4 linked regions of the Caenorhabditis elegans genome follow. The protein of the gene in region 1 purifies or fractionates together with the protein of each later gene. This does not show direct contact. Each region holds a gene or a part of one and is shown in the gene's direction. Other genes may lie near its edges. The genes, in order: srp-1, ndx-6, wht-3 and W10G11.19.

Region 1 (7,219 bases):
CAGAAAAAATGTTGGCGGGAAATTTAATTTTTCTCACAAACGAATTTGGCGAGAATTTCCAATTTTTTTTCTTAAAACATTTTTGCTGAAAATTCAGATTGTCTGAAAAATATTTTTTCAACTCAAATTTTCTGAGAAAAAAATATCTGGAAATTCAATTTTTAATTTTTTTCAAATTTTGGAGGGAATTTCATTTTTTTCTGAAAACTTTTTTACATAAAATGCACTTTTTTATAAATTTTGCCGGAAAACTCAAATTTTCTAAGAAAAATGATCTCGGGAAATTATAATTTTTTTTTCCTCAATTTTTGAGTAAGTTTCGAATTCTCTGATAAAAATTTTTTGGCGGGAAATTCAAATTTTAAAAAATGTTTTGGTGGGAAACTCAATTTTTTAAGAAATTCTGGCGGGAAATTCAAACGTTCTCTGAAAATATTTTCGCTCTTCTCTGAGAATTTCGCAAAAAAAAGGGAATTTCCAATTTTTCTAAAAACATTTTTACAGAAAAAACACATTTTCTCAGCAAAAAAAATTAGCGGAAAACTCAAATTTTCTGAGAAACTGATCTCAGTAAATCAAAATTTTAATTTTTTTTTTCTCAAATTGTAAGGAATTTTCAAATTTTCCAAAATACATTTTGCCGGGAACTTCAAGTTTTTTAAAAAAATCTGACGAGAAATCAAATGTTCTCTGAAAATATTTTCGCTCTTATTTGAGAATATAAATTTAGTGAACAAGAAATTTAAAATACAAATGAAAATCACGAAATTCATGGAAAGGAATGAAATTTTTTTAAAATCAAAGCAAAAATAATTGTGTACTTAAATGAAAATTTTTGTCAACTTGTGGTCGTGAAAATCGAGGAGACGGGTATGACCTGAACAGTATGCGACACAGGAATCACCGTTGGCTTTTTCAAAAGTGTATTTTTTATTGAAATAAAATAATCTGAAAACATTTAACATTTTCAAATGATTTTTCTCATTACGGACAAACCTTTCACGGCTTTTCGGTAGCTTTGAACTATATAAATGGTTGGAAGCGGATTCATTGCAGGGTACATCGCGATCGTTAAGCTCAAAGTTTCTCCGACGATTACCGAAGATTTCTCGAAGAAAATGGTGATATAAATTGCAGAAGCCGGAATATGCATTAAAACTACTGGGATTATGGTTTGAATGCATAGAGCTTGGAAAAGCTGCTTTTGAATATTTTGAAACTGTTCCGAGTTGCTTGTAATTGCGAGTAGATTGTTCATACTTATATATCCCTTAATTCCGAAGAATATCATGATCGAGCTAGAGAGACCCTAAAATGTTTGACAATTTTTTACAGTTTTTTTTACAAATAAACTCACAATTGACCCCATAACTATCAATGAGCCTTCCGCACCTTTCCAACTAAAATACGTTTCCGTTATTGAATTTTCAAGTTTCGGCCAGAAAAACGGGCCCATGTAATAGAGGTCTTCAAGATTTGTTTGATTTTTAATTACTTTTAGATAATTTTCTCTGAAAGTCATGATAATAAGCACCAGAATTTCTGAAATGTTCAGACCTCATGAACCGATCCGTTTCCGCATCAGCCGACAGAATAATACCACCGGTAATCATATAGAGGACGCCGTTGATAAGAGGGACTGTGAAAATGGGAATAATTAGCCATGAGTCAAAGATTTTAAGGTAGCGACTGCTGAAAACAATTTGAAATTGAAAATTTCTTTAACATATTTGAAAATTTGGGAGTTTTTTTTTTTTATTTGAAAAATATTACTAACTTTGTGACGCTGAAAAATCGATAAATGAAATGAAGAGCTAGAATTGACATGGACGTTCCAAAAAAGCCGACGAAAAGCACTGAAAAACTATTAAGATTTTCAGAAAACTGGGGGTACCTACGATCCATTAAACATGACATGGTTGCTGGGAAAATAGACTCCTTCCAATTAACGATCAAAAAGAATGCAGACTTTTTGGTGAAGAGATCCTGTGGAAATAATTTTATCTAAGTTAGAGAAATATGGGAGCAACCGACATTCCACGGGTTGGTTTTTTAAACTTAAATCTTGAAACCCGTGAGTTGTCGGCTGCGGCAGATCCCACAACTTACAGGTTTTTCTGCAAAGTATAGAATTGCGTAGGAGAACTCGAAAAGGTTAATATAAAGCATCAAAAACTTATATGAGCCCAATGATTTTGGGGATTTTTTCAGAATTAAAACAATCAAAAGGAAATTAATAAGAACTGCGCAGACCGCTGACAAGTTTAGGATTAAGGTGCTGTTAAGATGCATATTTTGAAACAAAACTTCCTTCAACCGATGTTTGGGAGAGTAAATCGTATCATGTGGCAACTCTTGTGATTAGAAACACCAAGTAGTACCATTTTAATTTCCGTGTATGCCTATGAATGCTGTCTAGTGCGTAGGCATAAAATAACAGAAAAAACGTAATAAAGAATGAGAAAAAAAAACCTTAATTTCTGTCCATTTTTGGGAAAACTTCCAAATTTGTATTCCCGAAAAAAAAAAATATTTTCCGTCTAAATTTTTTTGAAGAAATAGGTTTTTTTTTAATTAATAAGGGAAAAGCTTGGAAAATTGACAATTGGAATTTAAGTAGTTGAAATTTTTAAAAGTAGATTTATGTTCAATGTGAAGTAGGTGTCATCGCACAATGAATTGAATTTTTGAATTGAATTCTTTTCATTGAATTCCTTGCGAAATTTCACGCCGACACAACAACAAACAACAAACAAACTCGATTCCTCCCCTCCGAAACCAAACTCCTGTGTAACATACCAGCTGTTCACTTTACCTTGAACTTTATTTTTCTCTCCGAAGCATCTACCACATCAATTGATCGTGTAATTATGAGCTTTTCGCTCATAAATTCTACATTTACCGAGGCTCAATTTGGTATTAAACTGCTATCAGATCTAACTTCCGACCAGCTCACACCATGCGTCTTCTCCCCGGTGTCTATTCTATTATCGTTGGCTCTGGTGCATCTTGGAGCTAAGGGACATACCAGACATGACATCCGAAACTCTGTGGTGAATGGGAGCACCGATGAGCAGTTTATCGAGCATTTCAGTTTTATTAATAAACTTTTGAATAGTTCTGTGAACGATGTGGAGACTTTGATTGCCAACAGACTATTTGTTTCGTGAGTTTTTTTTCTGTAGTGGAAATATTTGTTGTAGTACGTTTAAGATTTAAAAAAGTATTTGAGCATATTCCTGGTCTATCAATCATTTCGGGTTTTCGAAAAAAAAAATCAAAACTTAAAAATAGAGTTTTCTGACGGAAAAATTAACTTTTTCTCAAATCTTTTTTGGTAGTTGTGTTGCAAATTTTCAGATTATCCAATTTTTAGGCCAGAACAAGCAATTCGAAAAGCTTTTACCGATGAGCTCCGCGAGCATTACAACGCTGAAACGGCAACAATCGACTTCAAAAAGTCTCAGGAAGCCGCAAAAATAATGAACCAGTTTATATCGGAGAGTACCAAAGGAAAGATACCTGATATGATTAAGCCGGACAATTTGAAAGGTGAGATTTGAGTGTAGGAACTTGAATGCCTGCTGGGGCATCCAGGTGCCTAGGCTTAGGCTCAAGCTCAGGTTCAGGTTCAGGATCAGGCTCAGGCTCAGGCTCAGGCTCAGGCTCAAAAAAATTTTTTTTGAACTATCAGATAATCGAAAAATCTAAAAACGATAATTTTAGATTTTTTTTTCCGAAACAACTTTTAACAGTTTTAGACGTCGACGCAATTCTCATCAATGCAATTTTCTTCCAAGGCGATTGGCGTCGAAAATTCGGGGAACCCGCGGAATCCAACTTCTCTATTTCTGCTACTGAAAATCGCCTTGTCCCAATGCTCCGCGAGACCAGAGACTACTTTTATAACAAGGATGATGAGTGGCAGGTTTTAGCTGAAAAATGTTCAGCAAAAAACTGAAAACTATCTAATTTCAGGTTATTGGTATCCCATTCAAAGACAAATCCGCATGGTTTGCCATTTTCCTCCCAACGCGAAGATTCGCCTTGGCTGAAAATCTGAAATCCCTGAACGCTGCGAAATTCCATAATCTTATCAACAATGTCTATCAAGAGTACATCTTTTTGACTTTCCCCAAATTTAAGATGGACTATAAGATAAATCTGAAAACCGCCCTCGCCAAGTTCGGGCTCGCGGAGCTGTTCACAGAACAGGCTGATCTTTCTGGAATCGGGCCGGGGCTTCAGCTGGCGTCGGCTACACATCAGGCACTGATTGAGGTGATTTTTTTTAGAAACTTTTATCTTGACAGTGGTATTTAAATCTTCATTTCCAGGTAGATCAAGTCGGAACCCGAGCCGCTGCTGCCACCGAAGCCAAGATCTTCTTCACCTCCGCCAGCAGCGATGAACCTCTTCACATTCGTGTCGATCACCCCTTCCTTTTTGCAATTATCAAAGACAATTCTCCATTGTTCTTGGGAACATACACTTAACTTTTTTATATTCGATGAGAAAATGTGTAATTTGAAATTTTGTAAATTAAAGATTTCCCATAACTTAAATTTCGTAGATAGTTTGATACTTGCAAAGAAGCTGCCGACATTTTCAGGGCTTTGCAACTCATCAATAAACACTTAAGCCTTCGCAGGACGTCGAGAGGTGTTAAACAGGGTTGTGCGGCAACCGGCTAAATTTGTCAAGTTTTCATAATTTGTAGCTCCAGCAATTATTTGCAAAACTTTTAATTTCTACTCATAGGATTTTTGAACCAAAATCTAATTACAATGGTTTTTGCGCATTTTTTGTCACTTTTTGAAAAAAACTACAGCACAATCCTATATTCGAATCCCCGCAATTGTTAAATATTCATAATAGAAATATAAGTAGACTACAAAATTTGAAAAAATTTTTTAATTGACAAATTCTAAGAAAAACCGCAAAAACTGATTGATTATCTTTTTTTGAAGCGATATTTTATAAAATAAAAACTTTGTTTATAAGTTTTACTATGGTGTTCAGGCGCTACTCTCCGCCTTGATTTATTAAATTCTCGAGTCGTTTTCAGACAGAATACCTGTAGAACATCGATCTTCAAAACAATTCACTAATTCGTCAGATTCGCACAGGCAATATGTCTGCAAAAATTGAATAACAAGTCTAACATCATAACGTACGTGAATAATTATTGTTATTTGCAGAAGGAAGGTAACAAAACACAACCACATCTCTTTCTCACATAGACTTTGATTTTCTTGTTGACTGTTTTTTGACCAGTGTTCTGAAATACTTGAGCCTGATTATTATTAAAAACAGAATTTGGAAAAAGCTCAGCTGAAATAGTTAATGTTAATAAATTGACAAGCCAAATTTAATTACCAATATGCTGAAATTGTACCTAAACTTATTTTCAGCTTTCAAAAATGTGCTGCCAACAACAAAAAGCCACTTGATCACAAAAAAATATTTCCATAAGTATCGATCACCCTGCAGAAAATCTGTCTTCCAGACAATTCCCATACCATGACTCACTAGACTGAAAAAATTGATTAACAATTCTAGAGAATCTATAATTATTTGCATCCTTGGCCCCAAATAACTAAAATATTTAGGTTGTAAAATTTATTCATGTTGGAAGTTACACAAATATTCAACCGAAAGCAAAGTTTACAGGCAGGTTTTTTTAAGTGTATAGACTGTATTGATTTTTTGTAAATTTGTTCCATTATACCAACTGATGTTGAATGAATCTTTTTGACAACAATAAAGCTAAAACTTTCATTTTTTTTTTCATTAAAAATTCAAGTCCTGCGTTTTCAAGTGGCTTAAATAACTCAACATGATTCTCGGTCGCCCGGTTTCCAGCTGTCCCGCGTGATAATCCCATTTGGCGTTCCTTGCAAAGCTCCGCCCTTATCTCGGCGGATTTAAAAGTAGCAAATAATTTATTTCTTAATTTTTCTTATTGGCCAGAAAGTGTTATGAATATTTCCAACCAAACTTTTCCTTACGAAAATTACATAGTTGTCTCTAAACGTATTTCTCATCTCGGCTTCTGCTCCACTTCATTTTTCTGCACTATTCTTATTATAATAATTGTGAAATTTAGTAATAAAAATGTTGGAAGTTACAAATATCTAATGATTATTTTTTCTGTTCTGGGAACATTGTTTTCAATAGTTGAAGGGATACTTTGTCCGGTAATTTAAAAAATAGTAGATCACAACTATTAACAAAACATTTAGAATGAGCATTCGTACACTGCGAGTTGGCTATTGTTCATTACAGAACGACCGTTTGGGCTCAGCCCAGACTCACTAACACTATTCCTCGTACTTTACGCAGTATTATACGCAGCAACAATTTGCATGCTATCAGTACAGTTTGTGTATAGATACTGTGCAATATTCCATCAATTTGGGTTAAAGTATTTCGAAGGATGGAGAATGTTGTCAATAGCTGTATATTGTTCCGGTTGTGGGATATTATGGGGAGGATCGATGTACCTTTTTTCTCAAGTTGATGATTACGCTAAGGCTTATCTCAGGTACATTACTAATAAGCTAAATCGGGTGTTAGAGAGAGCGACATTTGTTGAAGTTCTTGAAAATGTCCGAAATTTTAAAGAGGTGATACTTTTTAAATAAAATTGACCAATTGTGTAATATTTATTGGTTAATAATATTGGTAATTTTTCCATATTATTCAGAGGCGAAATGAGTATAAAATATGGAATCAACATTGACAATCTGGTTGCATTCACATTAGTTGCCTACGACAAGGATGGTCATTTTAGGTAGGAAATGTCTTTTGGGAGTTTAAAACATACAAAAAAGCTTTAGTTTCAGATGGTGGAATTCTATTGCAAATTTCATCTTATGCATTATCATGTTTGCTCAGTATGCAATTATGATGTTTTGTGCAGTAGTTATGTATCGGAAAATGGAGGAGAACATGAAAATGATGTCTGAATCACTACGCAGAGTCCACCGGCAGTTCTTCCGGACGCTTGTCATTCAAATCATCGCTCCATCCATATTCCTATTTTCCCCGCTAACTTTTATACTATACCATCCGTTTTTGAATTATGCAATCAGTTTTCCATCCGGCATGTTTTTGTGTGCAATTTCTTTATTTCCAGCCATAGATGCAATTGTTATCTTGACTATTGTGAGAGAATATCGAAATGCCGTGAAAAGTTAGCGAAATCTAAATGCTT
Region 2 (6,576 bases), on another chromosome or scaffold:
GGCAGAGAAGAAGATCCGCCAATTGGAGTTATGGTATATAGATCAAATTTTATTGAGACTAAAAGCTTAATCTGATTTTCAGTCATCCGAGCCATCACACAACTACCACAAAGGACGACGGACCTATTCTGAAGTGGTCATCGAATCTTTAGATGGAGAAAAACTTGTTGACTCGAGTTCTTCGGTTGCCGGAACATCGGAAAAATCTGGTGGAAGATCTGTTTCAGAAGGACCACGTGAGTTTGAAACATGTGAGATGGAAAATGAAATCTAAAAATTTCAGCTGACCAAGTTGCCTATTATTCTGGAAATCCTCTCACGGAAAAGACCGAAGGAATTATGCATTTTTACAAGTACAATGATGAGAAGTTGACAAAAGTTGCACAGTGCCGAATGTTGTGTATGTATGCTGTACCAGCACAAGTTGAAGTTCGTGAGATTATATCATTCATGTGTATCTCACTTCCGATGATTGTTAGTATTAAAGTTGTTCGAGATCCAGCGCCAAATCAGTATATGTTGATTATCAAGTTCAAGGAACATGTAGGTTCAAGTTATACTAACGATTAATTGGCAAATATTTATTTCAGAATGATGCTGTAACATTCTACGAGGAATTCAACAATTGCCCGTTTAATGATCTCGAATCGTATTGTTGCACGCTTTTCTTTGTGGATAGAATTGAATGTGTAAGTTATTATTATTTTATTTCAATAATTCCAGATATTTCGAAACAATTTATAAATTTCAGACAACGTCGAATGATCTCTTCTCCTCCGATGATACATCTCTTACGGAGCTTCCAACTTGTGCAGTTTGTCTGGAACGAATGGATGATAGTGTTCTTGCAATTCTATGTAATCATTCATTTCATGCTCGTTGCCTGGAACAATGGGCAGACAATACTTGTCCAGTCTGTCGATATGTTCAATCTCCAGAAGTTGTCGCAGAGCAACGTTGTAATGATTGTGGAATGAGCAACGATCTATGGATTTGTCTAATTTGTGGAAATATAGGTTGTGGAAGATACGCAGAACAACATGCACAACGACATTGGGAGCTCACTTCACATACTTATAGTTTGAAAGTTGGAGGAGAACGAGTCTGGGATTATGCTGGAGACAATTACGTGCATAGATTGATTGAAAATGGAGCTGATGGGAAACTTGTCGAGTATCAGAGAGAATCGAATGCGGTATGTTCATACTGGACCAAAAAAAAATTGTTGATTTAAAAACAATAATTTTTTGTTAAAAAACTGGTGGAAACAAAAAAAAAGAATGTTTTGAGGCTTCAAAGTGCCGAAAATCAACCTTTTCGTATAACTAATTTGAATTTCGCGCACTAATTAGTTTTGAAAATTCTCGGCCGTGTACTCCTCTCGGGCAATGAATCAATTAATTTTTTTGGATGCAATTTTTCGGGTTTTCTCATTGAATTCTATTGGTTTTTGTTTGAAAACAAATATATATATATATATATATGCGTCTGTAAATGCGTTTCAAATTAATTATCACACAAATACTTTTGTTCTGCCTAGGAATAAGTGCTAAAATCCTGTAATATATTCATTTTCCCCTTTATCGTTGAATAATAAGTATGATCATGTTCTAAAAGTGTTTGAAATCCAAAGTGTTTGATTTTTTACTTTATTTTTGCTATCATAAAGCAAAATTTTTTTTTTTTCGTGAAAAAATACCTTTGAAAAACAGAAAAAAAAGCAAAAAAAAAGTCCAGCACTGTTTTGTGGCCTTTTCATTCTATACAGAAAATTTATAAATTCATTTAAAATTTTGTTTTCAAGTATTCTGACTAAATAGACCAGAATGTTTAGTCTTCACTCAAATTCCCTAAAAATGTTGAAAATTGCAGAGCTTTGATGACAAAAACCAAAAGGGTGGAGACAAGCTTGAGGGAATCAAACTCGAATACACTCTACTCCTGACCAGTCAACTTGAGGATCAACGGAAATATTTTGAAGGTCTACGTCACGATATGGAGCAAACGATGTCAAAAATGGAGAAAACTGCTTATGCTCAAGTAGAGAATCTCGAGCATCAACTGACGGAACGATCAACTGAATTGAAATCATTAAAAGGAGATTTAGATGATACTGTGACGGCGAGAAAAGTGGCAGAGAAACGAGCAACGCAGACAAATGAAAAAGTGAATAAGCTTGCAAATGAGTTGAAAGATGAACGTGAAATAAATCAAATGTTGAGAAAAGATCAGCAAGTGTGGAAAGGTCAAGTGGAAAAGCTTATTGAAAGTCAGAAAACTGCTCGAACCGAGTATGAAAAGGTATTCGTCTAAATAGATTCCCTTGATCTCTTGAAAGCTTTTCTTTTCAGAAAATCGAAGATCTTCAGTCACAAGTCAATGATCTTTTGATGCATTTTGAAACTCAAAATAAGCTGAAAGAGCAGTTGGATGCTGGAAAAATAACTCAAGAGGTTGGTTAACCAATGCTCGCCACAATAAAAATGTTTAATTTACAGGAAATAACTGAAAGTCAAGTTGAACTCGATTCGTCGTCCTCCTCGTCGAGAAAATTGAACAGAAAGAAGAAAAAGTAGTTGGCATCTCAGGAGATCCATGTCCTATTTAATTTTTGCATATTGAACATTTCTTTAATAGTCTTTTCATATATGGTTAGTCTCACTTGAATATTTATTCGCTTTCTTTCGCGTATCTCATCGAATTTTGTGCGGTATATATGTATGCAGCCGGTAGTTTATTTAATGCATTCGCTTATGAATAAAATGATATCGTTCGAGTGTCTTTTGGTTTCATATTATGTACCATGTTTTCAATCGTTATTAAACGACGAGTCAAAAACTATTTTTCGAATTCCCTCCTCTTTCCTTGCTGACACATTTTCGGTGCTGACGCAACTCTTGTGTTCACTAAGAACGCACACTTCGTTTTAAACGTCTCCGCTGGCCATCATTCTTGTTTCCTTCGATTTTTCTCGATACTTATCTTTTACAAATTATTTTCTCTTTTTTTCAAGATTTCCATCAACTTTTAATATCACTGCTCTCATAATTTCTCGAAACTCTTCGTATTTCTCTAATTCAAAAGTTTTCTGCCGCATTTTTACACTCACTAACCAAGATTATCGATTTTTGGGCAATTTATGACAATTTGGAATCATCTTTTGTGTCGTCCGATAATGAGTTTCGTTCATCAAAAATGCAGAAATATCGGTATAAACAATGTATTAATCTAACATTAAATACAAATTTAACCTCTAGATACGGTTTACCTTGGTAGTAACATTCACCGACTAAATGTGCCTGATAATCTTGTCAAATGGAGCCAAGAATGGTCAGGATACAATCCTCCGGCTCACACCGATCCAAAAGTTGATGGAGCTGTTTGGGCAGACCCAGAAATCGATGAGAAAACGTTCCAACCGTCTTGGAATGCGATCGATGGGAAAATCAATAGAGTGTCATATGTTTGGTGCGTTTATGAGTGTATATACTCAATCAATCAAGAAACCTTCCAGTCAGTACTCATTTGATCCTGTCACCCTTCGCCCACTAAATCCTATTGGACGTACGGGACTTTCTGGTCGTGGTTTGCTTGGTCGTTGGGGTCCAAACCACGCAGCAGATCCGATCGTTTCTAGAACAAACGACAATGGTGATTTGGAGTTTGTTGCAGTTCAACGTCATGACAATGGCGAGTGGGCAATTCCTGGAGGAATGGTGGATGCTGGAGAGCATGTTTCACAAACTCTACGGCGCGAATTCGCAGAAGAAGCAATGCATGGAATTGTCGATTCTGAAAATCTTGATGAATTGTGGAATAATGGTAAAGAGTTATACAGGTGCATTCACAGCTCTTTTATCCCACTCAATGTTTCATTTACAGAGGTTACGTTGATGACCCACGTAACACTGATAACGCATGGATGGAGACTGTTGTTTTCAATTTTCATGATTCAAAAGGCCTTCTGAAAAATGTGGCTCTTCAAGCAGGAGATGATGCTAAAGCTTTACGCTGGATTGCAGTTAATTCAAATGAGCCACTTTACGCTTCTCATTCTCATTTTATTGATCTTCTAAAAGAATCTCATTCTCATTAACTACCACATGTCTCTCTTTTCTCATGTTCTCCTCTTATTTTCGCGTTTCTGTTAGCTATATTCAATTCATAAATGATTTTCATTTCAGAAATGAGCCGTGGAGGAGGTGGTGATCGTCGTGCCGCACCGGATATCAATGGTCTAACTTCGCTGAAAATCGACAACTTGTCGTACCAAACAACGCCCAACGATTTGCGTCGAACTTTTGAGCGATACGGAGACATTGGAGATGTTCACATTCCAAGGGACAAGTACTCTCGCCAATCGAAAGGATTCGGATTCGTTAGATTTTATGAGTAAGTTAAATTGGAACTATTGGAGAGAAAACATCAGAAAATCAATATTATTTTAGACGTCGTGATGCTGAGCACGCATTGGACCGCACAGACGGAAAGTTGGTTGATGGACGCGAGTTACGTGTGACTCTTGCAAAGTATGATCGACCATCGGATGAGAGAGGAGGCCGTGGAGGTGGTGGTGGACGTAGAAGGTTAGTATACTCAGTTGATTCCCCTTGTAGTTGTGCTCAAAAATTAGGCGCGAGACTTAATGGAACCCTTGTCTTCCTGACTTATTTATAGAACAGCAGCAGAGCCAGATGTTGCTGAGCTGAGCTGAATTTTTGCTGCTGTTGAAGCTGTAAATGCTTGCTGAGTGACACTTGAGTAGCAGAATTGCTGAAAATGCAGAGAAAAGCAGTTTTGATGTTGCTGTGTCTGCTGAATGAAACCAGCGGCGACAGTGTGGAAAAGGCAGAAAACAATTTTGTAAGTGCCCGAATATTTTCAATCGGCATATTCTACAGTTTGTTGCTGAAATTCAACTTTCGGTGGCAAACTGTATTGATAGACGTTGTTCTTTGTCTTTGAGTTGTCACTTCTTTCTATCGAATAGAACATTCACAGCGAGTAATGTATTTTGTACTCTATCAAAAACTTGATTCTTTTAAAAACTTAATAAATTTCAGATCCCGCTCACCGAGAAGACGCTCCAGATCTCCAAGATATTCTCGCTCAAGATCTGTAAGTTACTTTTAATGTCACCAATGTATTTAAATAATTTCAGCCGCGACGTTCTCGTAGTCGTACTCGTTCACCACCATCTCGTGATCGCAGAGATTCACCGGATCGTCGTGACAACTCTCGTTCCCGATCTCGTTCACCGCCACCACGTGAGGATGGATCTCCAAAGGAACGCCGTTCCAGAAGCCGCTCGGCATCTCGTTCGCCAAGTCGTAGCCGTTCCAACTCCCGCTAAATTCCGAAAAAATTTCCTCTTCGATTTCTGATTATTTTTCGTTTTCGTTTTCGTTTTTACTATGATTTACTCACTGATCCTGAAATTTCAAACGTCTTTTTTTTCCAGTTGCCTCCAACAAGACAAGTAATATATATGATTTCCAATTTTCCATCTAATTTCTCCAAGAGAACTGTTAAAATAAATCGAAATTCTGTCCGTCAATATTGTTCCAAACTTTTTTCTCTTGAATAAATTGGCTCAAGTGTCAAAGCAGTTAGAAATGTTCACCCAACCACACTTCCGGCTTCCGGTGTCGGAGCTCAGGTCTGGTTTTCAAAAAAACAAAATTTCATTTTCAATATGGGCTATGTTGGAAATGTCAGCTATCCTGATACAATTCCTGGTCAGGGAAATTTGGTTTTTGAAGCAAGTTTTGAATCTGGTTAGTTTTAAATTCAATTATAGACAAACAAGGAAGTAATTATATTATTATTTTTTGAATATTTAAAAAGTTTAAATTTTAAGGAAATTTGGGACGAGTCGACAAAGTTTCCTGTTCAGAATATGATTTATTCATTCGACCTGACACTTTGAATAATAAATATAGAGTTTGGTTCTATTTTGAATGCAAAAATGCATCTGAAAATCAGGTAAATGTTTGAAGAATTTGTATTTATTATTGATATTCGAAAACTGGATCTGAGGCGGAAACGTCGGGTCTCGCAGCGATTTTTAAAAAAATTCAATACCCTACGGGTTACTGTAGGTTTTCAGTTTTTTTCTGCAATGGCCATGGTTCTGAAATATTTACGAATTTTCCAGTATACCTAAATATGTTCTTTATTTTCGGGGAGAACATTTTGAGACAACTTTTTTCCTAGCTACAGTACTCTATTTTCCGCGCTAAAAGGTGTGTGCCTTTAAGAATACAGTAACCCATTCCTCGTTTTGAAAGTTACCGGCGGTTACTGTATTGATTGAAGGCGCACACCTTTTTGACTGGGTACTATTTGAAAATTAGTGTAATTATGCAGTTTAAACTTTAAAATTTTATTATCAAATTTGCAAATTCTTCAGCGGGCGATCTTCAATATTGTGAACTTTTCAAAACAAAGAACACTATTCGAAATGGGAATTGCAGCACCTGTAGTCAAATCAAATGCTCAAAATAGTTGGTATGATGAAAACCCCTCGATTTTCTATTTTAAAGAGCCATTTCAACATTTTAGGGCTCGAATCCC
Region 3 (9,612 bases), on another chromosome or scaffold:
GTGAAATTAATTTTTATATTTTTCAGAGGAGAAACCTTCGGAACATTGATCAACGTTTCTTTGATTCAATTCGAGATGCTTTTGGAATTTATCTGAAGCGTTTTTAAATGTTATTGTTTTTTTTGTTTTCCATTGGAATGTTTGAATATTGAGTGAATAAAATATATTTTGAGCGAAATTTAATGAGTTTAATCTTGATTTAAGTATATTTTGGAAACCTGCGTACTTCTGAAGATGCTTCTAAAAAAATCGGAAATTTTGTATGACGAAAGTTTCAGATTTTTTACGATAGACTGTAAGTATAAATATTAACAACACAAAGTTCTGAGAATTTGTATTGCGAACGCGCAAAATATCTCGTAGCGAAAACTACAGTAATTCTTTAAGTGACTACTGTAGCGCTTGTGTCGGTTGGTTTACGGGCTCGATTTTTATGTTTTTTAATCATTGATTTATGGATAGAATATTATAATTAAGCAAAAAAAAAGGAATATCGCTGTCACTAATCGAAAATAAATTAATTTCAAAAATCGACACAAGCGCAACTGTAGTCATTTGAAGAATTACTGTAATTTTCGCTACGAGATATTTTGCGCGTCTTATATGTTGCGCAATACGCATTCTCTGAATTTTGTATTCCCGTAATAAAACAGCTGTGATAAAAAACATGTAGAAGCCAAGAAGAGCATTCTTATTCAGAAAAAGCAAGGTTTAACATGCTTTGAAACACAAAGAAAATTTCAATTTCCAGATTGTTCAAAAATCCCTATTTTTATTGCTTTCTCTGGTGGTCAAGTGAATGAAAAGATCTTCCCTGAAACTTCTGAAAAATTGACTACAATAATTTCTAGGAATGTTCGAATTTATATAAGGAAAATACATTGGAAATAAAAATATAATGACAAAATTTAGATCCACTTCTCGCTGTCATCCTTTTTGATTTGCTCCTTGAGCTCAGACTCGGCTTTATCGTCAATTTTGCTGAGAGCTCTGAATCCTTCATCACCAACAAAACAGATTTCATGCTCATCTGGATCGGCAAGAATCACAACTTGAACATCGGCTTTTCCTGGAGTTTCGAGAGTTGTGAGCTCGTTTATAATAGTTCCATTGGCTGATTTGATCTTGTCTTGGAGAGATTCGAGCTGGAAAATTAAATATTTAGATTTTTAATAGAAAATATCAACAATTACCTTATCTTCAGGATAACTGAATGCAATTCTTCCGAATCCAGTTTTTCGATCAATTTTATCCTGAGACTTCACAATCTCCAGCTCACACTGTCCATCACCATAGCTCATTCGAATTCTGCTCGACTTTTCCTCAACAATCGGCATTCCGAGAGTTTCATTCCAATATTTCTTGGATTTCTCTAAGTCTCCAACATTCACTTGAACTCTCAACACTTTTGGCGATTGATCAGCCTTTCCGATCTTGAATTCGTGGCCATCTGGATCCTTCACAGCTAGTCTTCCACATCCAGATTTACGATGATTGATTTTTTCGACTTTTTCGAAGAGTTGATCAGAATCGATGACGATTGCCTGAAATAAAATTGTATTAATAATATCAAGACTCAAGCTTTCTTACTCTATAATCATTACCCAACTCATACTTATGAATTGGATAATTATATGTGATCTCTAGAACAAAATGCTCATCCTCTGAGCCATATCCAATCATTGTCTTGCTCCATCGTCCGTTATATGGTCCATTGCAAGTTGCTTCGCATCCTTTTTCGAATTCCTCGTGGCGAAGAACCTGAGAGTTAATTTACAGCTTAAATAAAAATTATGTGAATACTCACTTTCATATTCAGAACATTTGTGAAAAAGTCGATGGTCTTGGCACGATTCGCCACTTTGAAGACGTAGTGAAGAGCGCGAGCTGTCATTTCTGGAGAATAATAATACAATTATTTTTCGATTAACTTCAAGGGATGTTCACTCAAATGAATGGGTCTCGCCGCGCTCACTTAAGATTACTGTAGGAAATTCAAGTACAAATACAATAATGGGTCTCGAAACGACCAAAGCTTCGAAGCTACCGTACCCGTATATTTATATTTTTAAAAATTGTCTAAAAATATTAAAAGTATATGGGTTCTAAATTTTGGAATATTCAATAAAATAAATATGGAGGAGAATATTGTGAGTTACTGAAAAGATAGATTAAATTAACGGAAAATATACCATATGGCGAAAAAACTATAGTTTTTCAAAATATATCGATTTAAATTTTTTAAAAAATTAATATTTCTCTAAATTAATAAGAAATTATCGTATATTATTGAAAACTCTATTTTTTCTCGAAAGATTAAAAATTGAATCTCGGGGAGTTTAAAAATGCATAGCAACGAAACATCGATAAAAATCTTGCAGTAGAAAAGAGAAAAAGCGAGCGGAGGAATAATAAAATGAAGCGATTTCTGCAGTATTTATAGTGAGTGTTTGGAGGCCGACCCGCGCGCTCATTGATGTGTTTTTTTGCTTTTTAAAAATCGCGAATGAACCAGAAAATATAAAAACAACATGGCAAATACCTCAAAAATCAGTGCGAAAGACTGCGAGGAAAACAAGAAAACAACGAGTCAATTTATTTGCGAACAGAAAACTGGGGAAAATTGAAAAAGAACAAAACTACGGAACATTTGGAATTCAGGGAGCTAAATACGACAAAAAAAAGGAAAAAAGTCAAATTGAAAGCGATAACCATAAAGTAGAATTTGAGTTTTCAGAGAGAAATAATCAATTTCCACCAAATGCTAAACGTTTTCACTTAATTCAATATCTATACGGGGGAACTGTGATTAGGCATATCTGGCCTTGCATTGCTTGAAAATATCATTGAATCCGTTGCACAGAGAAACATCAGATTGGTTTTGTGCGCAGTCCACAAATTGTCTCCACTCGAATTCGCATGGCTGCGAGTAGCCAGAAGCTTGTGGAGCACCGGCTGGAGCAGCAGCAGCAGCTGGAGCTTGCTCGGCATGAGAGCTACCGCCTCCGGTGAACATTCCTCCGACGGCGTGACCCTGGAATTTTAGAATTCGATATTTTAATTAAGTGTTTCCCAAATTATGGTCTTGGAAATAGGTTAGCTTCGAAATCCGGGGAATATATATATATTTAAATAAAACTACTCACAACAGCGGATCCAATGGCGACTCCTCCGGCGGTTGCAGCCATTTGCTTCATCAATCCTGGTCCCTGAGATGGAGCACCCATTGGGGCTCCCATTGGAGTTGGAGCTGCTGGTGGATGATAAGCTGGAGCAGCGGCGGCTGAAATATTATTTTAAGAGTTTTTGAAAAAAAATAATGGCTTAAATTTTACCTGGTCTTGGTGGTGGAGCGGCGAAGGATGACTGGGCGGCTGGACGTGGAGCCGATCGAACTGGGGCCGATGGAGATGGGGAAGCAGTGCGCCGACGAACCATTTTCTGAAATTGATAGAATTTCAATGAAGATTTCAAATAATTAAAACTGTGAACGAAAAAAGCCAGAAGATAAAATATTCGAATAAATTGAAACATTCTAAATTAACTTTTTAGTTAAAAATGACAGAAATCAGGAACTCTGTAGCCTCCACTAGTCTCGAAGAGCATTTATATTGTCCGAGTAGTGACGAAATAGTTCAAAAATCACTTGTCTGTTCAATGTGATGAGAGATAAGATTGCGAAATACGACAGGGAAACAAAAAATTGAGCTAAATCAAGCGAAATCATATTAGAATCATTAAATATAAATACAAGCTTTTCAAAGTTTGTATTATGCATTTTACAACAAATAAAAATCGTAATAAAAGCGTTGTAAGACTATTTTTTCTATTTTCAAAATTTACGTATCCGTGATGATAAAATTTAGATTGGAAAATCAACAATCTACTCATTTCTATAATTTTTAATTAAAAATTGAATCAATTCAAATAGTTTATTTGTCAAATGCCTACAAAAATGCCATTCGATTTACTAGCGGAAAGAAAAAGATGGAATGCCGGGTACGAATCAATCGATACAAGCAGCCAAAAGGTAAAATTATGTTGTGTAAAGCTGAAAACGTGGAGTTTAGCTCAAGAGGAGATTCTTAGTATTTTTTCGGTCTGAAATGCATTTGTAAATTGAAATCAACAAATATATCTTTGAAGAAATGTGTTTAAATCATATAAAATACACATAATTGCTGCAACGAAGTAAAATACATTTTTCAGCTGACGGAAGTGGTGACGCCCATCACAGTCACGTGGGAAAACATCGAGTAAGTTGGAAAATTGACGAATAGTAACATCACATAACACGCCCAGAGCAATTTACTAATTTTTAAGTCATAATTTTTGTAAAATATAAACAAATCTTCAACACAAAGATCAAAAAACAAAGAAAATTCGAGAAAGAAATGATAAAAATGATGATGATTTGCGCGTAGGCTGTGATGCATTCCGCAGCGGTACGCAAACACCGCTTGCACACCGTAGTTCTGAGAAATACGCGGGTGTTTGAATTTAATATTTTCATATTTCAGGGTAAAAACTCGGAAAAAGCTATTTTCCAAAAAGCAGAAGCAACTGTTAAATAGAGTCTCGGGAATAGCAAAGCCAGGAGAAATGGTGGCATTAATGGGTGCAAGGTAAAACTTTAGTTATGTTATAGTTATGAAGTTATAGTTATGAAGCAATTTTGTTCAGCGGAGCAGGAAAAACCACTCTAATGAATGTGCTAATGTGCAGGAATATGAAGGGATTGGAGAAGAATGGAACCGTGAAAGTGAATGGAACAAAGATCGGGAAGGAGATTTCATTGATTTCTGGTTTTGCACAACAACAGGAGATTTTCATTCCAACATTGACTGTTGATGAATATTTAATGATCCAGGTCAGCATTTTTTTTCGCACGAAAATACAGTATTTGGTCTTGGCACGAATAACATTTTTTGAATTAATGTCACCTAAAATAACGTGCGCCTTTAAAGAATACCGTAGTTTCAAGTAAAAATACTATACGGAATGAAAAGTACAGTAACCTTTTAGAGGCGCGCATTCTTTTCTGGAGTTTTGATTTGAGAATACTTTGACCGTTTCAAGACCTAAAACTGTAATAATCAGAAGACAGTGTTTGATCTCCAGAACTCCCGATTTCTGAAGATCAAGCGTCAGCGCCTACTCGATACATCAAACTTTACGCGCAAACTCCCAAAAATTTCAGGCAAGACTTCGGATGAAAGCCAATAAACATACACGTAGAGAACGAGTGGATGAGATTATTGAAATGCTGAGACTCCAAAATTGTCGAGATTTGAAAATTGGAACACCTGGACTCGTAAAAGGAATTTCCGGTGGTGAAGCCCGTCGTTTGACATTTGCCTGTGAACTATTATCCAATCCATCACTACTTTTTGCTGATGAGCCAACGTCTGGACTTGATTCATTTATGGCTGCAAGTGTTGTACAAATTTTGAAGAATCTCGCGAATTCCGGTCGAACACTGATCCATCAACCTACTGCCGAGCTCTTTTTTCAATTTGACAAAATTATTTTCTTGTCGATGGGAAAAACCGCTTTTATGGGAACACCTCATGAGTCCGTGAAGGTAATTTTGAAATTTAAGAAATTATTTAAAGGCGCACGCCAAAAGGTCTTGGCACGACCGAAACTGAGGATTCAGAAAAATATTAGTGAATGTGGAATCTGCGAAAAAGTACAGTACTCTTCAAAGGCGCATACCGAAATGTTTCAGTCGTGTGGAGACCCTCATCTGCCTATAATTTTGAATCGAAAATCGAATTGTTCGGATACCCAACTATAATTTGAATTTACAAATTTTCGAATAAACCTTTTTTCCAGTTTTTCGCTGACTGTGGCCATCCAATTCCGAAATTATTCAATCCACCTGAATGGATACAATCCAAATTGTCAGTGATACCAAACAACGAGACAAAGAGTCGAGAAACAATTGGAAAAATTATTGAATTTTATGAAAAATCGATAATTCATCAGAAATCTATAGTGGAAATACGTGTGATTGCGACTACAGAGCTACCTCCATATATAGAGAATCCAGGATTTTTTGCCGAAACTGGAGCATTGTTAAAGAGGTTGGTTATCTGGAAAAATAATAGTTAAAGCACGCTTCTTTATGGTAAACTACGAAATGCACCATGTTTGAACCACAAACTGTTGCTGAACTTTGACATCCCATAGCTCAGTTGTTTTTGATTTTTCGAAATTTTGCCAATTGACAAAATATTTATCATGTATTTTTCTATAGTTTTGTAGTTCAACATTTTCTGATATCTATAAAATGACCCGAGATACTATAAGTTGCCAAAATTTTGTTTGGAAATCCTACCACGATTGCACTTTATAAAAAACCAGCTGTGGTCCGCACCTTCGGCGCGGCCCCCGACTTCTAGAGCTGAAAATTAATTTTTATGAAACTACCGTAACCCTACAGTATTCCTACCGTACCACTATTGTACCACTACAGTACCCCGACTATATCCCTACACTAACCCCAACTCACTATCCCTCCAGAAGTCAAAACTTCACAGACTACAAAGACTACATAGACTACAAACTATGGACACACAGAATAAGCGCTTTATATATAGTAAATGATGATGCACGCTTTTCTTTGCAAACCAATGGTGCAATAAAAATTTGATTTGCTTCTAACATTATTTTTCAGAGCTTGCCTCGATGTGATCCGTTCTCCAGCTCAAATGCGAATGAAACTAATTCAAAAAGTGGTGATGGGCTTATTCATCGGATCTCTTTATTGGCAACAACCACTTGATCCTCGAGGAGTACGGAACACAAATAGTGCTCTTTATTTTCTAATTGCGGAGCTCACTTTCTCCACGATGTTTGGAATTATGACATTTATGGAACATGAACTTCCATTAATTGCGAGAGAATATCATGATGGATTGTTTTATGTAATTAGTTATTATATTTCGAGGTTAGTTTAGAAAAGTGGAAAAGTACGGAAACATGACACGATATGGGAAGTTTTTCTATACGTTTATTTGAAAACTAAATATTTTGAGTGCACTGATAGGTAGTAAAACATCCGAGCATATGAAAAACAATGCTTCCATGGTTAGCACTGCATGCCTATGTGCCTATTTTCTGCCTACCGCCCATTTCTGCAATTTGACGCAAATTCCCGTGTTTGGATCAATTTTTCAGTTAAAAAAAATAGAGCAAGATTCACGTTGGTAGTAGGTAGAGCTTATAGTAGGCATTTTGTGACTGTACGAAACTAAAGACGAAGTATTAAAAAAATCAATATTAGGCTCTGCCCAAATAATGGTTTTTTGCGTTGTCAAGAAGAGCATCTCACAGTTGATAAATCTGATTCAACTTTCAGATTTCTGTCATATCTCCCATTATTTACAATCGACGGAGCTCTAATGATTGTAATATCATATTGGATGATTGGATTGAATAGTACTTGGCAACAAGTGGCTAAAAGTATTCTAATTTCTGTGCTCGTCGAGCAGTCTGCCACTTCGTGTGGCCTCTTCTTGGCTTGTCTATTCGAGACTACTTCGGTAAATTTTTAACATCAGATTTTTCAAAACACATGTTTTTTTTCAGCTGGCAATTGCTTTTGCCGTTCCAGCATCAGGCCTTTTTGCACTGTTGAGTGGATTATATGGAAATACGAATAACTTTCCAGTTTACATTCGGTGGATGCAATGGACTAGTTGGTGTAGGTTAGAAATTTTGCCCGTTTCTAGGCGTATGCGCTTTTGAACGGCTTCGTACTCACGACAAATGAATTTTCAGATATGGATTCGAAGGACTCGTCGTGAATCAGTGGTCTCAAGTGGACAATCCGAAATGGGATCCTTTCGTAAGTTCTATTTTTGTGACACATGCCACTTTAATCCTTTTTCAGTATCGAGAATTGATTCTGAAACAGTTCTCATTCAACAAAGACAACTATCAATTGGATGTTATTGGACTCTGCTCAATTGTGATCTTTTTCTATTTGGCTGGATATATTGCACTTTTCATTCGAATTCGATTATCTCGATGATTTTATTATTATGAACTTGTTTGCTGAACATTTTTGTAGCTCTTAATATATATTTGTTTGAAACCCCCCCCCCCCTGAGGTGTCGGCTGCAGATAAAGTCACTTTTTGCTCTTTTATCCTGAATCCGATACCAAAATCAGTACTGTATTTGAAATTGAAAATTGAACACAAAAAATCAAATTTTAAAATTTTTATCGAAATTTTTTTGTTTAGTGTGGGTGCATAGAAAGAATGTCAAAAAGGGGATGTGATGTGATTTTGGGATACGAAGAGAGAAAATTTCAAAAGAAAAACATACAAAGAAAAGGCATCTAGACGATCAGATTTTAAAAGAAAAATTGCAAAAAAAAACATTATATTAGGGGAAAACTGATGGAGAACATTGAAAAAAGTGTTGCGACATATGAACCCGCGAGAAAGACATGATGAAAACACGAATTTTGTTTTGTTTTTGAAGTTGAAATTGCAAAAAAAAAAAAGATTTGAAATACTTTTTGGCATTTGAAAGAAAACGTTTCCTTTAGTTTTGTGGGAGATGGAAAGAGATCACTAGTGGCTATCCGGGGGTATTAGATATGAGAATATTAGGAGGGGGTATAAAAGTGTGGTTATTGATTTTTGGTGGAAAATGAAAAAAAAAAACAAATCACACAGCTTTGCAAACCGGGAGTTGAGAGAAAATGAACGTTTTGAGATGGAAAATAGTTGAGAGTGGAACATGGTGCATCGAAGCGGCCTTGTGTCGATTTACGCAGCTCGTGTAAAACTAAATTCTAACCTCTCCTCGATGCGTACGCCGGTGTTCGCACAATTCGACTATTTTCCATTCAAAACGTTTTTTGATCCTACGAATAAAACTCTGGACAATTTGTAATCATATAAAAATGTTTTTGTGAAGAGGCACTCGGAAAAAGATCCCTGAGAAAAAGGAAAGAAGGACTGAATTGGGTTGGATGTGAGAGAGAAAGAAAGATGGAGAGAGAGACAGAGAAAGAGAGAAACCGGGTTATAGAATAGTATCAGTTTCTTGTGTGGGTGTTGGTGGCTCGTGTGATGAGAGCCTCGAGACTCTCATCTCATCGACAACTCCACCACCACCTCCATTCGGAAGACGTATCGCTGACGATATGTAGTTGTTCGGACGGTAACGGGCATTGGGCTCTGGAATATTTGAAAATAATTGATAGAGAAAAGAGCTCTCGATCTGGGAATCAGAAGCTTCTGATAAAATTTTCTGTGATCTACACGCAGCCACGTTGTTTATCACTTGAAAGTTCAGAAAGAAAATAATTAAAAATCCAAAAAATAAAGAAAAAAACGAAAAACCCATTCATTCCTGAAATGAATATTCGAAAATATTCATCCAATCGTGCAAGTATCGATTGTTATCGCATTACATCAAACACACACATTCCACTTGTTTCACCAAAAAAAAATATTTAAAAAAGAAGAAAGTTTACTAGAAAGAGGAGTTGTGAGACGAAGAAGGGAAAATCAGAAGATTACGATGATAATTAGATACGTAGAGAGGTTCACTTAACAGTGGTACAACGATTTGTTTATAAAGTGAT
Region 4 (8,286 bases), on another chromosome or scaffold:
GGACGTCGTCCTCCATCTCTTCAGCTTCTGCGTCAGTTCCAAACACAGAAGGGCTCCTAAAAGAGGACGAAAAAGACGACGCATCTTCTTCCCTCCTCGCCCCAAAGATAGAATCAAACATAGAACGTGCGGAGAGAAAATGAGGGAAATAGAGCGGGCAGGGGTCGAGACGCAGACAGGAAAGTAGCGGCACAGAGGGGTGCAGCAGCACAGCTTGCGGAGACGGATATATCGACCAAAGGCACTGAAGAATTATTAAGGACAACGACAAGTGTTGGAGGGACTAGAGGGAATTCTAGGCCAGAAGTTTGACCTAAAAAAGGAAATTGGAACGTTTTTTTTCGAAATGTTCATCTTAAAACCTTCTAGAAAGCGCGCTCTAATGAGATTCACCGATAATTCGCAATAGAGCGCGTTTTCATCTGTTCAATCTTTTTTTTCAAAAACTCACAACTGAAATGACGTCTGCGCTAGGAGAAACCCCTGATCGGCTCGTCGATTTCTCAGACTTTTTGAATTTTTTCGAACCGTCGCCGCCGCCTCTTCGAAATGTGATCGCATGGAATTTTCAGACAATTTCAGACAAAACATTTATTATTATCTAGCAGAATCATAGAAGACTAATAACAACTGGAGGAACAGTACGAGCGGGAGACAGACAGATAAGAACTAAAATTATCTTATCAATTTTAGTCAGCGGCGAGCACAAACTATTAGGTCGTTCAATAAGTTTTGTCGTTTTTTTCCAGTTTTGATTTTTTCTTGGATATTTTTTTGCGGTTGTATAGAGGACTGTTAGTAATGACAAGCCCAACGATATCAGCCATTTCGGTCAACTTCCAGGTTGTTTAAAACTCCGAACTATGACAACGAAACAAAATTTTTTTTTTCGATTTTTTTTATTTCCTCATGAAATCAAAAACTTTGTATGCGTAGATGTATTAGACAGTTAGTTAAATAAAACTGAAAATTTTCAGACTCAGGCATAGCTTATTGGTAGCGCTACATCTGTTGGAAGTGCCTAAAACGCTTGCAAAATTGTCTTTTTTATTTTTGAGCGGTGCTAACTTTGAAACCATGAGAGATATACAAAAGTAATGTATTACAACATTAATGTACATATTATAAGCTACAATTTATCAGTTTGGTGCAACGTTGGATCTCCTCACGTTTCTGAGTTACAGTCGATAGAAGTGCGCTTGGTCCAATTTTCAAAAAATCCTAATTTTTCATGTTTTTGCCAGTAACTCCAAAACCAGGTGTCTGATCAAAAATCTTTAAATCAAAAAATAAGTGCTTTTTTATTATTAACAGGTATTCAGTTGACCGTTTTGTTATATCTCATATGTGCGCAAAGATATGAATCGTAAAACAGCAAAAAATGCATGATCAGAAAAATATGAAAAATATTGCAAAAAGCCATTTTATTCTTCTCGAAAACAACATGGGCGTCTAGAAACACATTTAATATTTTGACTATCAATTAGTTTATCATAATCAAAAAACCATTAGGAGTTATCTTTCAAAAAAATTTTTCGGAAATTTTTTCCCGATGTTTTTTTAAATTTTTCAGAAATTTCCGCAACTTTTGTTTTACGATTCATATCTTTGCGCACACATGAGATATAACAAAACGGTCAACTGAATACCTGTTAATAATGAAAAAGCACTTATTTTTTGATTTAAAGATTTTTGATCAGACACCTGGTTTTGGAGTTACTGGCAAAAACATGAAAAATTAGGATTTTTTGAAAATTGGACCAAGCGCACTTCTATCGACTGTAACTCAGAAACGTGAGGAGATCCAACGTTGCACCAAACTGATAAATTGTAGCTTATAATATGTACATTAATGTTGTAATACATTACTTTTGTATATCTCTCATCATTTCAAAGTTAGCACCGCTCAAAAATAAAAAAGACAATTTTGCAAGCGTTTTCGGCACTTCCAACAGATGTAGCGCTACCAATAAGCTATGCCTGAGTCTGAAAATTTTCAGTTTTATTTAACTAACTGTCTAATACATCTACGCATACAAAGTTTTTGATTTCATGAGGAAATAAAAAAAATCGAAAAAAAAAATTTTGTTTCGTTGTCATAGTTCGGAGTTTTAAACAACCTGGAAGTTGACCGAAATGGCTGATATCGTTGGGCTTGTCATTAATAACAGTCTTCTATACAACCGCAAAAAAATATCCAAGAAAAAATCAAAACTGGAAAAAAACGACAAAACTTATTGAACGGCCTAATACAAGGCAGAGTGCTTTTTAGCGAAAAAAAAACTACAAAATCGTGAAATCAAAGCTACAGTAACCAGTTTTCGTTGCGAGACCCCAACATTGTTGCATGCAAAATGGGGGTCATTCAAATGCTGAGAACATGGATAAACTTAAAATCAGCTTGAAAAAAGTCAGAGATTCACATTTCACAAGTTTTCAGCGTGCTAAAAATCTGCTACACAGTCGAAACAAATGCTACAGTAACCCGATTTTGTGGCGGGACCAAAAAATTTTTGGAGGCAAAATAGTGTTCATTTGAAAGCGGAGAATACGTATAAACTGAAAATCTAATTGAAAAGTTTCAGAAATTCAAATTTTGAGAGTTTTCATGGCTTCCAATGCCTCTCACACAAGTGGAGTTAGTGCTACAGTAACCCGATGTCGTGGCGGGACCCTGAAATTTTCGGAATCTAGTCAAAATTGAGTCTATTTAAAAGCGGAGAGCACGGACAAATTGAAAATTTGCTTGAAAAATTTCAGAAATTCAAATTTTGAGAGTTTTCATGGCTTCCAATGCCTCTCATACAGCTGGAGTTAGTGCTACAGTAACCTAATTTCGTGGTGAGACCCTAAATATTTACAGGCGAAATGGGGTTATTTGAAAGCTGAGAGCACGGAGAAGCGGGAAATCTGCTGAAAATTTTTCAGAAATTCAAATTTTGAGATTTTTCATGGCTTCAAATAACTCCTACACAGCTGACGTTAGTGCTACAGTAACCAGTTTTCGTGGCGGGACCCTACACTTTTTGCAGGCAAAATGGAAGCCATGCAAAAGCGGAGAGCATGGAGAAACTGAAAAAATAAAATCTGATTAAAAAAATTTTATAAATACAATTTTGAGAGTTTTCAAGGCTTCAAGTTAATCTTACACAGCTGAAGTCAAAGCTACAGTAACCAAATTTCGCGGCGGGACCCAAAAATCACAGTAGAGTCTGTCTATAGGCACAGGAAACTCAAAAAATAATAAATTTTTCCAGAAATTGCTTGTCGAGCTACCGCTCTGTGTCTCCACAACGGAGCACTGACCACCAACTGATAATTGATAAGACTCACACTAATCATTCAATCAATATGCGCCTTTTTGCACTAATATTCTCAAGTTTTCTGTGCTCTTTAATATCAGCAGAACATGTCACTGTGACATATCATTTTTGGGAAAAAAGTTTGGATTTGAAAATAATTTTTTTCTCTGAAAAATTCAAAATTTCAGACGAAAAAATCGTGGAAAAAGTGGAATGGTTCACGAAATTTGTGGCGAATTCGAATCGATTTTGGACGAGCAATTTGGTTTTTCAACAGCATAATGAGAAAATCGATAGGGTTCAGATTTCAAGGTAGGTGGCCGTGGAAGAGAAAATTCGGCCACCGTTAAAATTTTAATAAAAAATGGAAAACAACTCGGCCACCGATTTTTTCTCTTTTCTTTCTACGTGGACGAGAAAATAAATTGGTGGCCAAGTTTTTTCTAAGTCCGACTTTTGTCATTAAATATAGTTATTGAAACCGACTTTCAAAATCTTTTTGCAAGTTTTAAACATACTCGATTATCACAACCTTTTGACAATTGATGGCCGAGTTTTTTCACGGCCACGTCCAATTTTTATAGCGAAAGCTGGAAATCTGCCGTCATCGAGGAGCCGGTCACCTTCCCGTTGGACACATTTTTCGTAGAACTCTTCCAAAAATTCGCCGACAAACTTTACACCAATCTTGCCTTGGATAGCCTACCGATTTTCGACGCCGGAGAATTGAAAAAATCGTTAAAAAATTTTGAAATTTTCGAAAAAGACGAGACGGAGGAGACTTTTCCATTCGATTTTTGGATGAAAATTGGCGAAAATGAGCTGAAAACCAGGAATCGCGATCGATTTGTGCTGTTTACTAGGGCAGGTGAGAAGCTGGAAGAAAAAGAACGCGGCCGCGGAAAAAAAAAACTCGGCCACCATGTTTTTGCGGCCATCACATAGCTTTTTGTGATGGTGGCCGAGTTCTCATTTATTTCTAGGCCACGCCGTCATTTCCCCCCTTATTCCAGATTCCTTCGAACACTGGGAGGCTATTTCTCACTTCCTAGATGCTCTGAAGCGTAGCAAACAGATTGGTTATGTGGTGGACTGTAAAAAGTAAGCTTTCCTCTGGAAAATTTGCTGAAAAATCTGAAAATTCCAGTGAAAACTCTGGTTGTTGGGCTCACGGAGTCGATGAGAATCCGACGCTTTTTTCGTTCAAACTAGATAATTTTGACGATCATCTCGAGGCAAGATTCCGTGGAAAATTCCAGAAGGATCAGGTTTATGACTGGATTTTGACGTAAGATTTTGACGTGGCCGTGGGGGATAAAACTCGGCCACCAAATGAAATTTCTCTTCCAGAACCAAGCAACCCGAGGTAAAACTGCTCAACGAGGAGCTGGTGCCGAGCTACCGTAGTGGAATGGTCCCAGGATTTGATCGCGCGCGGGAAACCGTAACAATTCTGTTTATTGACACGAAAAAGTCGCAGATTTGGAGGAATTACGCGAAATTTGCGCGGGAAAATCACGGGCGGTTCCATTTGACAGCGCTGGTGTCCGAGGAGGTCAAGAAATGGTAAGAATTGGTGGAGAATGTTGTTCAAAATTTGATTTTCCGTAACTTTCCGGGTCCTACCGCGAACGAAAATTTCCAACTACAGTACCCCACATGGTAGCTCACGTGGTGCCAGGCTGTCTCATTGCGGTTTGATCTACAAAAATCCAGGAATTTTTCCCCTAGCAAAGAGTGACGTCAGCACGTTCTTAACCATGGGAAATCAATTGAGAACTCTGCGTCTCTTCTCCCGCATTTTTTGTAGATCTACGTAGATCAAAAAGGAGACACTCTGACACCACGTGGTAGCTGAGAAGTTTTGTTCGTGCCAAGACCCAAAGCATGGATTTGATCGAAAAAATATTATGCCAGTCCGAGTTTTTAGTCGTAATCGCAACTTTTTGGGTCCTGCCGCGAACGTAACTTTCCAACTACAGTACCCCCACACGATAGCCAAATTCGTTCGTGCCAAGACCCAAAACTGGGATTTTGGCTAAAAATGTATTTTTTTTCAGAAGAAATTGAATTTTAACGAGAAAAATTGGTTTTTTTTTCCTGGAAATTTTCGAATTTTCCAAATTTCAAATTTCCCGATCTTTCAGGTCCATCTACCCTGCCTTCATCACGATGAAGCCCTATGACCCCTTCGTAAAAGCCTTCACACTTCATAAGGATCTCAACTGGAATCGAATGGTCGACTACTTGGAGGACGGTGTACACCCGGGCTGTCATCAATTGTCAAGTCCCTCCGATTTCCTCTTCGCCACCGGAACCCAGAAGCCTCTGGTCGTATTTTTCGACCCACTGGACTCTAAAAATTCTGAAGGATTCAAAAAATCTGCTGCCGAGCAGCAAAGCGGCGATCGAATTGCTCATTTTTCGGCTGTAACCGGTTTCGACCTGTTTGGACTGTATGTGATGAGCGTTTTTAATGTGAATTCCCCGAGCTATATTGTCATTCGGCGACAGGTACTTTCACTTTTTAACTTCAAATTAAATTCATTTTTTCCAGGAAAAAGGATGGTGCATCCACACAAAACCCGCTGAAAACGACAATTTCACTGGAATTCTTTCATGGGTTCGGAATTTGGAGCCAGTTCACTGCCAGGAGCTCATTGAAAACTTCAAGTTCCCAATTGCTCGTTTGAATCTGTTGGAGCGGTATGATGACGTGGAAGAGCTAGAGAAAGGGTTCACGGCCGTGGAGTGGACTAGGGACGAGCTATAGGAATTTTAAAAAATTGCTCTGTTGTAATTTGGTAAAAATAAATAATTTAATTTGTTTTAATTTGATGTTTTACAGATTAAAATTGCATTAAAAATTTATATTTAAGAATTAATTAATTTTCCCTGCTCGTCATTTTAAATGCCAGTTCCGCAGGTACACCGCCACGGTAGATTGCGGACAAAAGAATCCTTTTTTTAGCTGTTTTAAGGAAATAACAAGAAATTTCGATGAAAATTTTCAGTTTTAAGCTTTCATACTAAGATTTAATAAAAAACAGACAATTTTAATGTAGAATTGCAGGCGATATCCTAGTTTCCACACTGAAAATCACTTGCGCGTCAAATAAAATGCAAAGTACGCATTGACACCGTCACGTCCCATTGCACACAATTTCTCAATTATTATTTTTCTTTTTCGATCTTTTGATTTTAAATCTGAAAATGGACATGATCGAGCTTGAAAAAAAGATTTCTGAAATTGAAGAAGTTCTAGGAATCGATGATCTCACCACGGTAAGCTTTTTTCGCGCAATTTCCAATAAAAATGCCAATTTTTTTTCCAGAAAACATCAATTCCCTCTCAAATCGAGGCTCTTCAATCCAAATTACGAGATGATTGTAAGGCGAATCTGCTAATGTCGATTCCCATTCAAAAGCTGGAGCATTTGAGCAAAATCGCCACGGAAGTACGTTGGAAAAACTGAATTTTCTGTGAAAAATCGATTTTTCAGACATCCGGCCCATATGGATCGCTGACTGACAAAATAGAGTCTGTAAAATACGCGGAAAAGCTGATCAATGAACGAGCGGAACGGATTAAACAATTTTCAGATGCTCTTGAGGTCTTTTTTTGCGATTTTTCAGAGAAAATTGAAGAAAAATAAAAAATTTCAGCCCTGCCTCGACCAGGAGCTCTTCTCAAAAGTGGCTGCACTTCAACCGGAGCTTGACGCTGAAATCGAAAAATACGAGAAGGCCCTGGAGGACTGGACCAAGTAATTGCAGTTTTTAAAGCCTAAAAATCTGAAATTTCCAAAATTTCAGAACCTACGGAGAATTCCAGACACTTGTCGCCGAGCGGTCAATGATCAACCAAAAAATCACCGAAAAAGTGCTGGATCTGCAGACGAAAATCAACGCAAAAGCTAAATAATTAAATATTTTTTCGCTGGATTGTAATTTATTTTTATTTTCTTTGTTTTCCTGTAAAAATTGAAATTCTACAAGTTTTTTGTTAGACAGAAAGACGAATTGGCAGCAATTATCGACTTTTCGAAGTGGGCAAGATGATGACGTTGTTTCGGGAAATTGGAAAATTTGTTTTTTTCCAATTTTTTTCCTCGCAAGAAAAATAGTTTTCTCTCCATTTGAATTACTAGATTTTTCAAAAAATTTGAACTTTTCTCCGTGGAGCGCGCTTGCATTATTAGATTTTACGAAAATTTGAATATTTCTCAGTGGAGCGCACTTACACCTCACTTTTTTCCAAAATTTTTAGTAATTCTCGATGGAGCGCGCTTGCAGCAAGGTAATTTTCAAAATTTTCCCAAAATCTCTATGTAGCGCAGTTGTAATCCAAAATTACAGCTAATTACCAGTAGAGCGCGCTTGCATCAGTATTTTTAAAATTTTTTTGAAATCAATTATCAGTGGAGCGTACTTGCATCCCAATAAATTTCATATAGTGCCAGGCTGTCCCATTACAGTTTGATCTACAAAAAATTCGGGAATCAGCACGTTCTTAACCATGCGAAATCAGTTGAGAAACCTGCGTCTCTTCTCTCGCATTTTTTGTAGATCTACGTAGATCAAGCCAAAATGAGACACCCTAACATCACGTGAAATTTCAAAATTATAGACAATTCTCTGTGGAGCGCGGCTGCATCGTTATATTTTTCGAAATTTTTACAAAATTCTCTGTGGAGCGTACTTGTAACACTAGCTTAGCCAAAAATTCCACCAATTCTCTCTGGAGCGCGGTTACACCGCTAGATTTTTCAAAATTCTACTAATTCTCCGTGGGGCGCGCTTGCATCATTATTTATGTTTTCCGCCCATCCCCATATCCCTCACAACACTATCATCTTCTTATCATCATTACGTCGTCTCCTCTCATTTTCCAAATTTCCATCTCGCTGCTAATTTCGTTTCTCTAGAAAAAAATACAAAAAAATCTTGTTTTTCTCTGCGTCTCTCGTTTAAATTGATCCCT

What was found.
Region 2: the proteins of srp-1 (region 1) and ndx-6 fractionate together in Caenorhabditis elegans (co-fractionation; one large-scale study listed by BioGRID). This does not show direct contact.
Region 3: the proteins of srp-1 (region 1) and wht-3 fractionate together in Caenorhabditis elegans (co-fractionation; one large-scale study listed by BioGRID). This does not show direct contact.
Region 4: the proteins of srp-1 (region 1) and W10G11.19 fractionate together in Caenorhabditis elegans (co-fractionation; one large-scale study listed by BioGRID). This does not show direct contact.

Annotation. Positions count from the first base shown.
Region 1 is NC_003283.11:750,488-757,706, forward strand, and holds srp-1 (Serpin domain-containing protein), read left to right. Parts: upstream 1-2,795; 5' UTR 2,796-2,870; coding exon 2,871-3,166; intron 3,167-3,376; coding exon 3,377-3,552; intron 3,553-3,761; coding exon 3,762-3,928; intron 3,929-3,978; coding exon 3,979-4,281; intron 4,282-4,337; coding exon 4,338-4,496; 3' UTR 4,497-4,637; downstream 4,638-7,219. Other genes in the region: str-262 (Seven TM Receptor), read right to left, coding at 839-948, 997-1,309, 1,358-1,511, 1,558-1,692, 1,778-1,856, 1,899-1,986, 2,110-2,292; str-20 (Seven TM Receptor), read left to right, coding at 5,982-6,200, 6,246-6,547, 6,710-6,796, 6,843-7,198.
Region 2 is NC_003280.10:5,386,437-5,393,012, reverse strand, and holds ndx-6 (Putative nudix hydrolase 6), read left to right. Parts: upstream 1-3,131; 5' UTR 3,132-3,175; coding exon 3,176-3,209; intron 3,210-3,257; coding exon 3,258-3,468; intron 3,469-3,514; coding exon 3,515-3,838; intron 3,839-3,882; coding exon 3,883-4,096; 3' UTR 4,097-4,184; downstream 4,185-6,576. Other genes in the region: brap-2 (BRCA1-associated protein homolog 2), read left to right, coding at 1-33, 83-236, 284-543, 591-689, 752-1,195, 1,873-2,301, 2,352-2,453, 2,499-2,576; rsp-4 (putative splicing factor, arginine/serine-rich 4), read left to right, coding at 4,187-4,392, 4,449-4,586, 5,064-5,118, 5,162-5,353; ccpp-6 (Cytosolic carboxypeptidase 6), read left to right, coding at 5,696-5,777, 5,861-5,985, 6,413-6,510, 6,565-6,576. UniProt on the Caenorhabditis elegans protein: Probably mediates the hydrolysis of some nucleoside diphosphate derivatives.
Region 3 is NC_003281.10:4,145,883-4,155,494, reverse strand, and holds wht-3 (ABC transporter ATP-binding protein/permease wht-3), read left to right. Parts: upstream 1-3,896; 5' UTR 3,897-3,943; coding exon 3,944-4,030; intron 4,031-4,209; coding exon 4,210-4,256; intron 4,257-4,520; coding exon 4,521-4,625; intron 4,626-4,683; coding exon 4,684-4,870; intron 4,871-5,200; coding exon 5,201-5,584; intron 5,585-5,838; coding exon 5,839-6,089; intron 6,090-6,682; coding exon 6,683-6,955; intron 6,956-7,366; coding exon 7,367-7,550; intron 7,551-7,596; coding exon 7,597-7,715; intron 7,716-7,788; coding exon 7,789-7,855; intron 7,856-7,900; coding exon 7,901-8,041; 3' UTR 8,042-8,070; downstream 8,071-9,612. Other genes in the region: C16C10.9 (uncharacterized protein), read left to right, coding at 27-107; glod-4 (Glyoxalase 1), read right to left, coding at 909-1,145, 1,194-1,544, 1,591-1,761, 1,808-1,894; har-1 (Hemiasterlin resistant protein 1), read right to left, coding at 2,810-3,034, 3,147-3,283, 3,336-3,438; Potassium voltage-gated channel unc-103, read right to left, coding at 9,048-9,202. UniProt on the Caenorhabditis elegans protein: Required for efficient RNA interference (RNAi) of pop-1 indicating a role in the germline development.
Region 4 is NC_003280.10:3,547,321-3,555,606, forward strand, and holds W10G11.19 (DUF4105 domain-containing protein), read left to right. Parts: upstream 1-3,331; 5' UTR 3,332-3,351; coding exon 3,352-3,442; intron 3,443-3,490; coding exon 3,491-3,614; intron 3,615-3,886; coding exon 3,887-4,170; intron 4,171-4,315; coding exon 4,316-4,403; intron 4,404-4,449; coding exon 4,450-4,590; intron 4,591-4,652; coding exon 4,653-4,868; intron 4,869-5,449; coding exon 5,450-5,816; intron 5,817-5,859; coding exon 5,860-6,075; 3' UTR 6,076-6,135; downstream 6,136-8,286. Other genes in the region: dnc-3 (DyNactin Complex component), read left to right, coding at 6,516-6,587, 6,638-6,760, 6,806-6,916, 6,969-7,069, 7,119-7,227.